Tamandua tetradactyla: one gene and its partner. The main gene of each other region encodes a partner of the protein of the gene in region 2 in a complex. Links are inferred from orthologs where the notes say so. Each region holds a gene or a part of one and is shown on either strand. Other genes may lie near its edges.

Region 1 (7,879 bases), on a different chromosome or scaffold from region 2:
ACAAAAAACAAAAAAACCCAGAAAATAGTAAATGTTGGCCAGGATGCTGAGAGATGGGAACCCTGGTGGTAATGTAAAATGGTGCAGCTGCTGTGGAAAATAGTTTAGCAGTTCTTCAGAAAGTTAAACATAGAATGCCTAATGACCTGGCAATTCCACGTCTAGATATATATCCAAAAGAATTGAAAGCAGTGACTTGAATAGATATTTGTATACCAATGTCCATAGCAGCATTATTCATACTAACCAAAGGGTTGAAAAAAATCCAGTGCCCATCAATAGATGCATGGATTAAAAAATGTTATATATACATACAATGGAATTTTATTTGGCCAAAAAAAAGGAAATGAAGTGCTGATACATGCAACAACACTGGTGAACCTTGACGATATCATGTGGAGTGGATTAAGTCAGACACAAAGGACAAATATTGAATGATCTCACTTATATAAAATACTTATAACATGCAAATTCATAGAGACAGAAAGTAAATTATAGGTTTCTAGGGCTTAGGAAGGTGGGAAATGAGGAGTTATTGTTTGATGGGTACAGAGTTTCTGTTTGGGGTAATGCAAATGTTTTGGTAATGGATGGTGGTATTAGCAGCACAACATTCTGACTATAATTACTATTACTGAATGCACACATGAGAGTGGTAAAATGGGAAATTGCGTGTTGTATATGTTATCACAACTGGAGAGAACAAAAGCTGCCAGGCCTCATCAGCTTCGACCTGGAACTGGCCCAGTGTCAGTTCCATCACATTGCACTGGTCGGAGCAGGCCACAAGGGCAGCCTAGATTTAAAGGAGGGAAAATAGCCTCCACTTTCATGCGAGGGGCAGCACCAGCCTACAAAGATAGCAAGAATTGTTGGCAATGATATTTGGAGACTAACTACTGTAACGCATTATAAAAATTGTAGTATATTTTAAATGCTTACATTTAACACTAGCACATTTAGCATAAAAGTATAGGATGAGTGTATTAGTGAGCTTGTTTGAATAAAATATCATAATTCCAAATTTAAGGCGGGGATCAAATATCCCTTCATGTTGCCCCATGATAGGCCTGTCTTAGAGTCTGTGAGAGAAGTTTTTCTTTTCTTCTTTCTGAGTCCTGACTGTGCAATTTGCAGCAGGCACCAATAGTCATTCATTCCTAAGTGTCCTGGTTTTTCTCAGATGAAAAAGTGTTCTGGTTTTGAGTATGAAAAAATCCCTGATTGCCTCCTTTCAGGGCATCAGCCTTCCCAAGCCGAATGGTGGGAGTAGTCCCAGGCCCGTCTGGCCTCCAGAGTGCGTTAGTGGGTTGTTAATTTGTTTACCTGCCATGCAGTAGCCACTCCTTTCATTTAGAAGGTGGAATATCATCTGCCATGTGAGATGATTCTATGGCACAAAAAGGACCTAATAATGCCAAACAGCAGTGGAGGAGATGTGCCCCATTGATTGGAAATGAGGAGGTCCGAGTGGTTTTGGAGAGCTTGTATCAGAATGTTGGGGATTCGAGCCAGGCAGGTGGCCATGGGCTGGAGAAGACGGAAGGGAACAGAAAGACCACCACCCAGGTACGTGCCAGACCTTTGTGACAAGACATAAATTATTGTGGGGTCACAGACTGCAATTCTGGGGACATGCGTTCCTTTAAAAAAAAAAAAGCAGTTTATATTTTCTTTATTTTGGTCTCTATTGTTCTCTCAGTGTTCAGTACATTTTTAAAATTCTAGTCTGGTCAGCTGTACTAAGAGGAAGCAAGAAAGAGGTTTTTGTCCAGCTTGGACTAGAATTTTAAAGGGGAAGCAGCTTACCATGCGCCTGACACAGTGGTAATGAACAGACTAGGGTTAGCAGAGTGTGAGAACCGCAAATGAAAGGTAAACGGAGGGCATCTGAGTTGGAACCTCTTGTTAGAAACTCTCCCCACACCCAGATATGTTTCTCTAACCTGCTTCTGGTCTCTAGTCCCTAGTCGGTTATTCTACTGGTGTACCACATAAGAACGGACCTCCTCCAATGAACAATGGGAAAGGAGAGGGCACTGGGATTGGTGGTCCCAGCTTGGAGGTGGTGGGTAACTATAGAGTTTGCTTTTAAGCATGGAGCCAGCAAGCAGAAAATCTGGTCTAGCAGTGTTTCAGTTTGCATATGAACTGCTGGCTGCCACATATTTAGGCAGACAGGTTACTCAATCTTGTTCTAGTTATGGAAAGAGAGAACCCACAGATTGCAGCAGGAGCCCAACCAATTCCTGAGGAAGGGGACCAGTGAGGAAAGGGTGAGCTGGCGTGGCCTATAAGCAGACTGGTTTGTGTGGGGCAGAACTAAGGGAGAGAACTGGAATCCAAAGCAGCAATGGAGGCAAAACGGACTGTGACCACGGCAGGAGTGGTTGGGGAAAGGTTGCCCATTTGGAGCACGTAAGGACTTGGGCATCCCCGGGTGCACTGGCCACCAGGCTTGGGACAGTTGAATAATTCCTGACCCCGTCCAGATTCTATTAGTGCCCAGGCCTGGTTCTCTGGGGTTGCTGCTCAAAATCTTTGGTGGCTTCAGCTGGATAGAGTTGGGGTGGGCAACCATTGTCATTGCCAGGGCCCTACCCTCACCATTTGCTCCCATTATCTATAATTGAGCAACACACTACCCCATAACTTAGTGGCTTAAAACTTGGTATGCAATTAATACCACTGAATTATACACTTAAAAAATGAATGCAATTAATATGACTGAATTATACCCTTTAAAATGGTTAATATGAGAAATTCTGTGTTATAAATATATGTCACCACAATAAAAATGCAAACAACAGCAATCCTTTATTTTGTTCTCAAATCTGCATTTAGGGGAGGGCTCAGCAAGGACAAACCGGTCTCTGCTCCATAATGTCTGTGGCCTATGACTCACAGAGTTGGGAGCAGGAAAAGTTGCAAGTCTCCTCTTGCAGAATCAGGATAACCCCCTGCAGTGTCTGTGTTCTCTCCAGCATGCAGTCTCAGGGTAACTGAACTCAGTGGGGGCTCAGATGGCTAAGAACAAGGATTCCCCAGAGGCCTAGACAGAAGCTGCAAGGCATTTATGACCTAGCTCCAAAATTTTTAGAATATGGTCATTTCCACTGTAGTTTTTTGTTAAGTAAATCACTCCGTTCAGTCGACATTCAAGGAGAAGGCAGAGATTTCACCTCTCAGTGGGTGGGGTGCCAAAGAATTTGCCACCGTTCTTTTTTTTTAATTTTTAAAAAATATTTTTATTGAGAAATAGCCACACAGGTACAGTCCAACCACTTTGCCACCGTTCTTTATCTATCGCACCATCTTGCGGCAATGCGCGAAGAAGAAAAGACTTCTTCAGTGAAGTCTCCTGTCTCCCTCTCCCCAGATTATCACTGTGGCAGCTGGGAGGCAGCTATCCACAGAAGAGACCAGTGAAGGATTTGGGGGCCACCAGTGCTACAATGTGGTGCAGGATCCACCACTCAGCAACTGGATGAGCTTTTTAGGTTACTTCAACTCTGAGAGCCCAGGTTCCCGCCTGTGCAAAATGGGGCTAATACTGCTATACTGGCTGTGAGAATATACTTCTCAGATCTCCCAGTGCAGGGCGCATAACTGACTAATGGCTCTGCCCCAGCTGCTGAATTCTGAAATCTATCCTCCGATATTTAACCCCTTGTCTCAGAAGCCAGCTTCCAGCCCAGGACTGAACACAGCAGGGATACTAAGGCAACTTGGCCAAAGGTCTCCCCACAGCCTGACTGAACTTTCTCAGAACTGCATTGCAGTCTAAGATGCTTCCTTCCACCCAATGTTCCTTCCATGCCTTTCTCCGTCCCCAAGCTCACACCTCCTTGCCTAGTCCAGCTCCCTGTCCATTTTCCCCTCATAAGTGCTGCCCCTAATAAATCTTTTGCACAGCTACTCCTGTCTGGAGCTAATTCTTGGGGAACTGGGAAAAACACAGCCACCAACTCACAGGGCTGCTATGGACGTTACCGGAGTAGGCGGGTACAATCACCAAACCAAGGCCTGGCATATAACTGACACTCATTCATCCAACTAAGATTTATCGGATATCTATTTATGTGTAGGCTTTTAGGCTGGATGTCTGGCACATACTGGTGAGCAAAGCAGACAAAGAACACCACCAGAACTACCTGCTTTAAAGCTTTTTGACCACTCCCACTGCTGAGACATAAAGTCCCAACTCTTCAGCTGGACACACAGAATCCTTCAAAATATGAACCTTTGGAGCCTCTCCACCTTCCATCCCACACTGCACACCCGAGTTCACAAGGAAGTTCTTTCCTCCTTCAGTTTTGCTTTTTCACCCCCCAAAGCCGTTGAACATCTGTTATTTCTCCTTGAAATGCTGCCTCTTTCCCCTGCGCACATCCCTTGCCTGCCACTCTTACATATCCCAAGCCCCCAAGTTCTATTATAGGGTCCAGGTACCCAGACAGCACGTGCTTGTTAGCACAGATCTCAGCACACACCTTTTAAAAGCATTTGCTGCGCTGTGCTATAATTGCTCGTAACAGTGTACAGCAGGAGAAAAGACCTCTTCATCCTTCACTCCCCAATGCTCGGCACACGGTAGGCTCCAGCTAAGTAGCTACACAGTGGTAAGTGGATCAGCGAACTAGGGAAAGCGATTTTCCTGGGGTGACCGCGGGGCCTGCGGCGAGAAGGTCGAGAAGCGGCTTGGGTTGGGGAGGGAGCCTCGCCGTCGCGGGACTCGGGTTCGGTCGCTCTAGCACCGGCTGAATCGCGGCAGCCACCGCCGGGCACATGACCGCTGGCTCAGCCTCCCGCCCCGCCCGCTTCCCGGCGCCGAGGCCCAATCCTCCCTCCCCGGGCTGCGGCGAGCAGGGTCGGCGAGCGTCACAGCCTGCGCGCTCCCTCCTTTCCTCCCTCCCTCCCGAACTGAGCCAGGCGGGACGCCGCGGCTGTCCCTCCCCGGCCTCGCGAAGGAAACCGAAACCAAAGCCGGGTCCCTCTACGCTCCCACCCCGCCTGCGGGGTGCAGAGGGGGCCGCGCTCGCCGGGTTGCAGGGCCGAGAGCCCGCGCGTGCTGCGCGAGCCGAGCGCGGGGAGGACGCGGGCGCCGGAGCCTTCCCGGTTCTTCCGGCCGCTGGCAGCCGAGACCGCGACCGGTTCCTCCCTCTTCCCCGCTGGATCGCGGGCGGCCGCGGCCCCGTGCGTGAGCGGCGCGCAGAATGGGCAGGTGCTGCTTCTACACGGTGGGGACCCTGTCCCTGCTTCTTCTGGTGACCAGTGTCACGCTGCTCGTGGCCAGGGTCTTCGAAAAGGCCGTGGACCAGGCGATCCAGAAGGTGAGTTTGGTGGCTGTGTGTGTGTGTGTGTGTGTGTGTGTGTGTGTGTGTGTGCGCGCGCGCGTCCGGCAGGTAGGGAGGGGGAGCTCCCAGCGCGCTCTCCCAAAGCTGTACCTTTTGCGGGGAAAATCTGCACTTGGGCAAATCATCCGGACTGGTGCCTTGCTTTCTTCCTTCTCTTCTTGGGGTTGATAAATGAGAGTTAGAGACCGATGTGGACTATGTTTTCTTGATCATAAATAAGAATGTGGGTTTACGCCGCAAAAAATCTTTCGCTTTTGTTCTGTCATTTGCATCACCACCACTACCCTCTCCCCCGCCCCCCGGCAATACACCCCAATCTCTGTTGGGCCCAAACTCATTTCGCTCCCACCTCATGAAGAAAGAAAACTAAATAAAACACACTATAGAAGAGAGGTTATGTTGGCTGCTTGCCGTGGCCTCTGAAGTGGTGTGGGGCTGGGGATGGAAGCGGCTGTGTGGTCTATTGTATTCTTACTTTCCTGAGCTGGGCAGGGCAGCGGGCAGCGAGGTCAGGCCCGTTGACTGGGTGACATTTCAGTCCATCATAGTCGGTGCTTACCCTCCATGGCTGCATATCTTGTATCACGGTCTGCTGCTTTGTGCTGCTTTGTCTCGTCATTCATTCTTGTTCTTCTCAAACAGTGATAATCTTCAGGCAGAGATGCATGGAGAGTCTTAGAATCTGAATCTCTCTTCCCCCTGGATGAGTGGGCTGGAGAACTAGTCATTTCCGAAGACTTCCTCCGCTTTTGACTTCACTGGTCATTTCTTTTGCCCTTTCACCCAGGCCCAGAAAGCTGTGTGGAAAGAGGAACAGGAGAGAGTTAATGGGATCACAGTTTCCTTAAAAAAAAATTATTCAAGTGCCTTCTCTTATTAGCACCCTAACCACATGTGTCCTGTGACATCTCCCAGTTGGTCAGATTCAAAGCCCAGGCCTCGTCCAGTTGGAGTCACTGCGCTGGCCAGTTAGAACATTTGTCTTCTTCCAGGTGGTAAGGAACGTATTCCTTTAATATAAATTTTCCGAAGCAAGCAATTATTCGAAATCTGGCAGTTAAGAGAAGAAGAAGAAAAAGAAAAAAAAAAGCACCATAACAAGGCATAATTTAATTTTTAAAAAGCTCACGTTGCCAAAGGAAGATGAGCCCACTGTATGGGCTTCTCAAAGCTCAGTGCTGACCTTGAACACTGATGTTTAAAATAAAAATAAACTGAATCCTTTCTCCATTTCCGCCCACCTTCAGATCCATGGTGAGAATTTTTGAGGATATAAATTTTCGTCTTTAGGTGACTAGAGTTAAGCAGTCCTACTGTAGTCAATATATGAATTTTCTTGTGTCAATTTGAAAGCCAGTTTCCCAGTGCCTCAGGTATAGCTGGCCCTCAGGCCCTCTGAGGGTTTCTTCAGTTGTACCCAGAAACTGTGGGTCTCTATTTCTTGGTGGAGAGGGAAGTCGTTGTGAGGCAGCTTGGCTGGATAAATCTGGGCTTGCTTTGATATTTGGTGATTGACTTTTACCCCCATAAGGAATGGACGCTGTTTTGACTGATAATGTACAAGGGAAGTGGACTTTCACAATTGCCTAACTCCAGCTGAGTAACACTGTACAATGTGGTATATAAAACTAAATGACAGGGTGCACGGGTGTTTCAGTGGTAGAATGCTAGCCTTCCACGCGGGAGACCGGGGTTCGATTCCCGGACCATGTACACCCCCCTCCCCCCCCGAAAACTGAAAAACAGAAAAGCAAAAAAACCCCTAAATTATAGGACTAGTTTCATTGGACAGATTTGGGAATATTGTAAGTCAGTCAGGTCACACATTACCATTCTGTTCTTTCCTGGATGATCTGCGGGACGGTACCGTCGGGCAGTGGGAAGGAAGAAAGACTGCTCGTGAACACTTCTAAGCACAAATCCTGACTCGATCATGCTGCATGACCATGAGCTAATTATCTCAACTTTCTTGATCCTTAGTTTCCCCATCGGTGAATGTGGATCAAAATGACTAATGTACACAGAATTTTTAAGGAATAATTAGAGGAAGTGAGTGTAATTTCTCTGGGCTATAGTTAATGCTTAATAAGTGATAGTGATTTTATTTTTGCTAGAAGCCGCACAGAGAAAAAGTGCGTGACATTTGCAGTTGGACTCACATATTCAAACCCAGGCCTTTCCATTTACAAGCTTTGTGTCTTTGGGCAAGTTACCCAACTTCCCTGAGCTTCACTTTCATTATTTGTTACAGGTGACTTGTTAACTGCCTTGGGTACAGTGGAGCATTCCCCGTGAAGCTCAAGAAACTTAAGCTTCAGGGCCCTTCACTTGCCCAGGTGCTTCTTTGGGCCTTGATGCTCTTCCTAATTTCGTATTCTTTTTTTTAGAGAGGGCCTCCTCAAATTATATAAGCTTCAAGACCCGCAAAACCTGTGTCTCCCTCTCTGTGTGTGCCATTGTAGGACTAAGTGAGGTAATCCATATAAAGCACTTAGTTAATCAGGCACGGAGCAGGTGATCAA
Region 2 (7,317 bases):
CAGCGATGCCATGGACGTACTTAGCTGCCTCTGGGTCCGAAAGCACCTGTGCAGAGAAGGAGAAAGACTGCTGGGGAAGGGGAAGCCACTGAACCAGGATCCTCTGTGCAGAGGAACCAGGGGACCTGGCAAATAGATGGTAGGGTAAATGCAACTAAAGGGGTTAAAGAGACAACTAATGGGGAGAGGTCCTTGAGAGCCAGAGAGCTGTAGGAATCAACAGTTGGGAGCAGGGAAGGCATACAAAGTCCTGGGAGCCAGTAATTTAGACCCTGGACTTGGGGGTTACTAGGGCACCCGTGGAAATCCTGGAGCCTTACCACCTTGGCCCAGTGGGGTAGCAGCAGGCGTTGGTCATCTAGCATGAACAGGTGGACATCGCGATGAGTACTGTTGGCAAGGGTGGGACCCAGGTCACGGGCAATGAAGTCTCGCTGGTGTTCAGGGGTGAAGCCCAAGCACTGGAAGGGGTACCCACTAAGGAGCCCTGCAGAAGGCTCATTCTCTGCTGTTACTGCCCAGAACTGTAACTTGTGCTCAGCATAGGCATCCAGGAACCTGGCGGAGGAAAGGATGTGAGTGAGCGTGGCTGAGAAAGGGGACCATGACCCTGGGGAATGGGAGGCCTGCTGAAGTGGGCAAAACTGAAGGGTCCAAGGTAGAAAGGTACTAGAAGGTAGACAGTGAGCTAGGAGAGTCAGGCCTGGAGGTACAATCAGTTTGAGAACTGGGACACAGACCAGGGTGTCTGAGAGTCCAGATCCCATAGCCTTGCTGCTTCCTTACTTAACAAAGTAGTTGGCCCAGGTCTGATGGTAGATATCTCCTGGCTGACCCTTGAGTGTCCCTTTCCCATTCACGGCCCCATTGGTCTTGAGCCAAGAAGGCGATGTCCAGGGACTGGCAAAGAGTGAGATGTGACGTCGAGTCAAGTCCAGGGCTTGGTGAATCAGGGGTATCTAGGGAAAAAGGTAGTAAGCAGAGAGATACCCAGGTTTGGAATATACAGAGACTGGCCCAACCAGTGCATCAGGCCCAGCCATCAGTCCTCACCCTCCAACCCCGGGGCAAAACAGCACGGGGCAGGTTCGGTGTCTCTGCAAACTGCTCTATCCTGAGTCTCCTCAACTTCCAGGCAATGCTACCAGGGCTTGAGGCAGCCAGAGTGCCCACCTTGAGCTTGGTATCTTCCTCTGGGAGGCTGAAGTTGTGCAACTGGAAGTCACCAGGGTTGTCAGCATAGGTATAGATACGGATGGAGAAGTCACAGCTGGCCATGGGTACCCGGATGATGTTGTATTCAATTCCTGCAGAAAAGGATGACCAAGATATGGAAGTCTGAATCAATAGGAAGATATGGGTACCTGGTCTATCATTTTCCTGTCCTAAATAAGTCTAAATCAGGGCCAAAGGGGACTTGGGCTCCTAGGATGGGGCCTGTGGAGCTCAGAAGCCAGGCCCTTCTGACCCCAAGAGCTCCCAAGCACTTAGCACAACATGAGTAGGTAGAGTTGGACAGTAAGAGAGGACCCAAGTTTCAGGGATGGGTAGAAGTAAGGGACAAGGAAAGGTCAGAGAAAAGTGTCAATTGCACAATGGCATCTTGTTCCCCTCCTCCTCACCTTCTTCAGAGAAGTACGATTTGAGCAGCAAATTCCGGGCAGGGGGTGACAGGGCAAGGATGTTGAGAGCAGCAGCATCTGTCATGGCCCCTCCAAATCCCTTTATTTTCTGGAACTTCTGTTCTGGGTGCAGGGTCAGTAGCAGCCCTGAGGACATCCACAGGGAATAAACAGTGTAAGTGCACAGAGGAGAAACTCCATGGTGATCACTGGCATGATTTATCTCCAGGAGGATCCCAGCTTGACTTGGGGTGAGGGGGACAGTGGTTACCTGTGCCTGTGCGGTTGGCCTGGATGGTCCCCACGCTCAGTTCCATCCGTCGCCCACTGCGTGTGCTCTCATAACGGTTGAACGTGCGAGAGGCAGGGAGGGTCAGGGGGTCAAGAGAGTCACAGTACGTGGCATTGCAGACACAGACCACTGAACTGTAGCCAAAGCTTTTAGGGATACAGGGACGGGCACCTGAGAGGGGGAGCACAAGCAGAAGCATGGGTTGAAGGACAAGGACAGGGAGAACTGACTCATTGATTGAAAAGAGACTGAATACAGGTTTCAAAAATCTTGTCACTGTACCCCCATTCCAAGGTTGGTCTCAGTTACTCAAAAGGATTTATTGAGCACCTATAAAAGTCCCACTGGTAGACCAGAAAGCTACCAAAGGACTATACGGCAGAAAGGAGCCGTGGTACTACCTCCCCCCTTTAACTCACTCACCTGATGCCCATAACACCATCTGAAGTAGAAGCAATCCTGTGAAGCTGGCAGCCATGACGCCTGTCCTACCCAGGTGCATGGGATGTTCCTGAGACCAGAATGAGGAGTGACTAGAAGGCAAGCCTCTCTCAGTCCGTCAACTATTCCCCAGGGCAGGGCTTGGCTGCCTGCAGGTGCCCACAGCCTAGTCTCCCACCTTTATGAGGGTTGCGACAAAGCCCACAGACACATGGGTGTAGCCCTCCCTCCAACCCCTGCCTCCTTCTGCTGGTGACAGCTCTCTGCCCACCCCAACCAGGAACCTCCTGCATCCCTCTTCCCAACCATTTCTCCCTCCACTCCTCCCTCCTTTCATCTGTTCCTAGCTCAAAGGGAGTCTATATCATTCATTGAGTTCCAGGGCCAAGAGGGTCAAGATTAAGATTCCAGAAGCAGCAGGATGAGGCTGATTTGGATCCCCGGTCCAGCCACCTCTCTGGAAGGACGTGAAAGCTCCATCGCCTCAGGGTCACCGGACGGGGAGAAGACTGCAGCTGTTCCAGAGCTTCGGAGAGACAGAGGATCCACTCAATAATAGGAACAGGAATGCTTCTATCTCCAGTAGCTGTAGGCACTGGGATTAGCCCCGCAGGTTAATTCCGGCCTCCTAGAGTGGGCAGGTCATGTGATGATTGTGGGCGTGTCACATGATACCGGAAGTGAGGCAATTGCAGCCATATTTGTAAAGGGCGACTGGCTTTCTCTGGGCTGGTGACCATTATACACTCTGTGAACTCGGGAAGGTTACTTTAGAAGGAGCCTCGTTCAAACAGCTGGGTGTAGGATAGGGTAGAGGCCCCTGAGTCCCAGACAATGGTGATCAGAGCAGGCATGTTGCCTCCTTGAGAAAAATTTTTAAACAGTGATAATAAATGAGATTCACTGTGTAAAATATCAAGGCTCCAGAGACTATTAAGATGTAGTTTGAGCCTCATAGAGAGAGGCCCTAAATGAGGTGAGTCAGGCATTTATACAGATAATGACCAATAAAGAGAAAAATGGTAACAGATGTACATGGAGAGCTCAACGACACACCGGAGGGACACTTCATGGGTGGGGAGTTATCTAGGAAGGCTTCACGGAGGAGGGTGTCCTTCAAGTGAAAGTCAAGTAGGAGATTATTAACCAGCCACGTGTAGGGAGGATGGGATCCAGGCAGTGGGGTGGCGTGGCCGGAGGGAGGGAGGGAGCCTTCACCACTACCCCTCTCACCACCTCACCTCATCAACCCATGCAGGTTGTAAGAACTCGTCTGCCTTTCTCATCAGACAGGAGGCTGTGTAAAGTAAAATAGTTCAGGAACTAGAAAGTGTTGTACAAAGTTCACTTCTCAGTGAATGTAAGAAGCTCTACAGCAAACATGAGATCGTGGACGTGGCATACATAATTACGAGCTGCCGCGCCCCAGCTCTCTGAGCCTATTTCCTCACCTGTAAAATGGAGGTAATACCACAACCTCAGGGTCCCGGAATCACAGAGATAAACACTGTGCTGGGGCCTAGCAGGCACTTGGGAACCACTTGTTTGTTTCCTGTCTTTTTTTTTTTTTATCCTCTCAGTGAAGCCTTTTCAGGCACACCCCGGGCAAAGTGATCATTTCTTTCTTGTGGTTCCTGCAGCACCCCAGTTCGGTTTCAGCAAGAGGGGCCGAGTCTGAATCCCAAGCCCACCATTTGCTGGCTGTTTGACCTTCCATAGATTACTCCATCACACTAAGCCTCGGTTCCTTAACTAAAAGGGGAGTGATAACGCCTACATCATAACTTGGTTGTGAAGTTTAACTTTTTAAGTATGATAATGTGTGTATTTAGTACACTGCTTGGCACCAGATATTGCCACAAGTCAGATCTGTATTTATGGAGGAAACTCGGAGGGCCTTGAAGGAACATTTTACTCATCCGCAGAACCTCATACTCCCGCAGAGGCTGGCACAGGGTGGTTCCGCAGAGGCTGGCACAGGGTGGTCCCACAGAGGGCTGGCACAGGGTGGGTAGATACTGATTTGATGAATTTAATTGAACTATGGTTCACCAAGTCAGTATCTGCCCCATCCAGGCTTCCTGTTCTTCCAGGAAATCTTGCTCAGGGATTATTCTTGGGAGGAGCTCAGGCGATGCCTAGTACGTAACTTCCTTCCAGTTCATTCATTCCACAAATATTTATTGAGCAAATGCTACATTTACCCTGCCTGTGCTGTGCTCTTTTTGGGTCTGACGCCTCCCCAACTCTATGCCTTTTCCCTCTGCAGGCAGAGTTTGTGAAAGTGTTGTTTGTTCTTTTTTATCCTTCGGTTTGCAATTGTTTTCATGGCTGATGAGTCTCATCTTTCAGTTCCTCTCACAATTGATTTGCCCTTAAGGCTTTTATATTTTCTTTTCTAAATAAAGTTAGTTATAATAAAAGCTAATATTCCATGCAAGAGACCCGGGTTTGATTCCTGACCCATGCACTTACAAAAAAAAAAAATTCAACAAATGGTGCTGCAATAACGGGAAAGAACGAAATGTGACCGTCACCATACAGCATACAAAAAAAAAGGCTAATATTTATTGAATACTTAAACTCTGTGCTACTTTATGTGCATCATCTCGTTTCATTCTCACAAAGCAGATACCATTATTCTCACCATTTTAGAGATAAGGAGCCTGAGATGAGAGGTCATTAAATTTTTCCAAGTCCTTTGGCTTCTCGGAGGTGGAGCCCTAGATGGACAGTCACAGTCCATGGCACATGGTAGCTATTTCCTGAGAGCCTCCTGCGTGCCAAATGCTATGCTAGGCTGCTCTGCAGTGTTTGATTTATTTTGTTTGAAAACCGTCCCTGGTTTTTTCTGTAGTTTTCTACCTGCCCAACAGAAGTTAGCTTCTGAAGGGCTGGTGACATAGTAACATTTCTAGATCCCTGTTCTACCAAGACATTGATCAGGGGATGCCTCTTGAGTAATGAAACAAAATCCAGAGCCCCCAGGTTGGGCAAGCCTGATTTTTCAGTTGGGAAGGGGTAGCTCCACCAAGTAGCCCTGCTTTTGCCCTTGAACTTCACTGCCCCCCAACAAGCCTAGCACCACCCCTTTTTCATAACAAATATTTTTAAACATATTTTTTACTATCCTGAAATAAAATGCAGAGTAATATAGCTTACCTACACACATAATTTAAAAGAATCAATATGATTGTCTTTATTGGAATATAAGGGGGAAAATAATGAGAATGTTACTCATAATATATTATGCTTTTCAGTAAATAAATGGTTAGGCATGACTACCTAGAAGACATAATGTAGTCAGATCTTGCACTCACTTAAACAGGATAAATTAGAATTTAAGAGAAGTAAAAACAAACCCATACCTGCAAATGAATAAATAATTGCAATATGTACTCCTCACCATTTATCACCTTCTCAATATGTAGTTATTGTGCTGCAAAAATAAAAATGCAACAAACAGAAATACTAAAAACGATCTTTATGAATAAAACTCAGTGCATTCCACATGTCCCCACAAATTTAATATTTGATTGTAACAATTCAATGGGAGAAAGGGGTGAGTTTTTTAAAAATGGCATTGGGACAACTGGATATATACACACAAAAAGGTAAACCTAAATCTTTACACTATTCACTAAAATGAAATGAAAATGGATTATAGACCTAAATGTAAGAGCTAAAAGTATAAAACTCCTAGAAGAAAACAGGAGTAGAAATTTGTGATCTTGGATTACGTAAGGTTTATGATTCTGAAACACAAGTGTCAAAAGAAGAAAGAAAAAATGATAAATTGGACTTCATAAAAAAATGAAACAAAACAACTTTTGTGCTTCAAAGGATGACATCAAGAAAATATAAAGATGGGTGGGCCATGGTGGCTCAGCAGGCTGAGTTCTCACCTGCCATGCCGGAGACCTGGGTTCATTTCCCAGTGCATGCCCATGTAAAAAAATAAAAAAAGAAAATAGAAAGACAACCCACAGAATGGGAAAAAATATTTGCAAATCATTTCTCTGTCTAGTCTCCAGAATATATAAAGAATTCTCACAGCTTAATACTCAAAATCCAATTATAAATGGGCAAAGGATTTAAATAGACATTTCTCCAAAGAAGATATACAAGTGGTCAATAAGCATATGCAAAGATGCTCAACATCATTAGTGATTAGGGAAATGCAAATCAAAACCACAAGGAGAGGGCAGGCCATGGCGGCTCAGCAGGCAGAGTTCTCGCCTGCCATGTGGAGACCCAGGTTCGATTCCTGGTGCCTGCCCATGCAAATAAGTAAATAAATAAATAAATAAAAACTACAAAAAAACACACACACAAGGAGATACCACTTCACATGCACTAGATATAACAAAAAAAGACAGACAACAACAAGTGTTGGCAGGGATGTGGAGGAATCAGAACCCTCGTAAGGTGCTGGTGGGAATGTGAAATGATGCAGCCACTTTGGAAAACAGTTTAGCAGTTTCTCAAAATGTTCACCAGAGAGATACACCATAGAGATAGCAATTCCACTTCCAGATTTACACCCTGATGAAAAATATGTCCACACAAAAACTTGTGTGTGAATAAAATTCATAATAACCAAAAAGTGAAAGCAATCCAAACGTCCATCAACTGATGAATGCATAAGTAAATTGTGATGTTACACCATGAAATAACATTTGACCAGAAAAAGTAATGAAGTACTGAAACATACTAAAACATGGAGGAAATCTAAGACATTATACAAGGTAAAAGAAGCCAGGTGCAAAATACGGCATATTATGTAATTCCATTCATCTGAAGTGTGCAGAACAAGCAAATCCACAGAGACAGAATACAGCTTAGAGGCTTCCTGGGTCTGGAGGCAGGAGAAGGGAACCAGGAGTGACTGCTAATGGGTATGTGGGTTTCTTTTTGGGGTGATGAAAATATTCTACTATTGTGATGATGGTTGAATGACTA

The links.
Region 1: the proteins of GBA1 (region 2) and SCARB2 are in contact, whole or in part, in a cryo-EM structure (PDB 9FJF), measured with the Homo sapiens proteins. The link is inferred for Tamandua tetradactyla from reciprocal best matches to the Homo sapiens genes GBA1 and SCARB2. Residues at the interface, in NP_000148.2 of Homo sapiens: Leu130, Asn131, Ala134, Ile169, Glu190, Lys194, Leu195, Pro430, Arg434, Ile445, Thr446, Asp448; in NP_005497.1 of Homo sapiens: Lys161, Ala162, Tyr163, Gln164, Lys181, Glu183, Leu187, Phe191, Arg192.

What each region holds. Positions count from the first base shown.
Region 1 is NC_135350.1:52,880,236-52,888,114, forward strand, and holds the start of SCARB2 (lysosome membrane protein 2), read left to right. Parts: upstream 1-4,875; 5' UTR 4,876-5,216; coding exon 5,217-5,333; intron 5,334-5,832; exon of another isoform or gene 5,833-6,180; intron 6,181-7,879.
Region 2 is NC_135330.1:8,182,525-8,189,841, forward strand, and holds the start of GBA1 (lysosomal acid glucosylceramidase), read right to left. Parts: upstream 3,010-7,317; 5' UTR 2,836-3,009; coding exon 2,809-2,835; intron 2,426-2,808; coding exon 2,338-2,425; intron 2,086-2,337; coding exon 1,894-2,085; intron 1,770-1,893; coding exon 1,623-1,769; intron 1,308-1,622; coding exon 1,174-1,307; intron 960-1,173; coding exon 787-959; intron 559-786; coding exon 321-558; intron 47-320; coding exon 1-46. UniProt on the Homo sapiens protein: Glucosylceramidase that catalyzes, within the lysosomal compartment, the hydrolysis of glucosylceramides/GlcCers (such as beta-D-glucosyl-(1<->1')-N-acylsphing-4-enine) into free ceramides (such as N-acylsphing-4-enine) and glucose.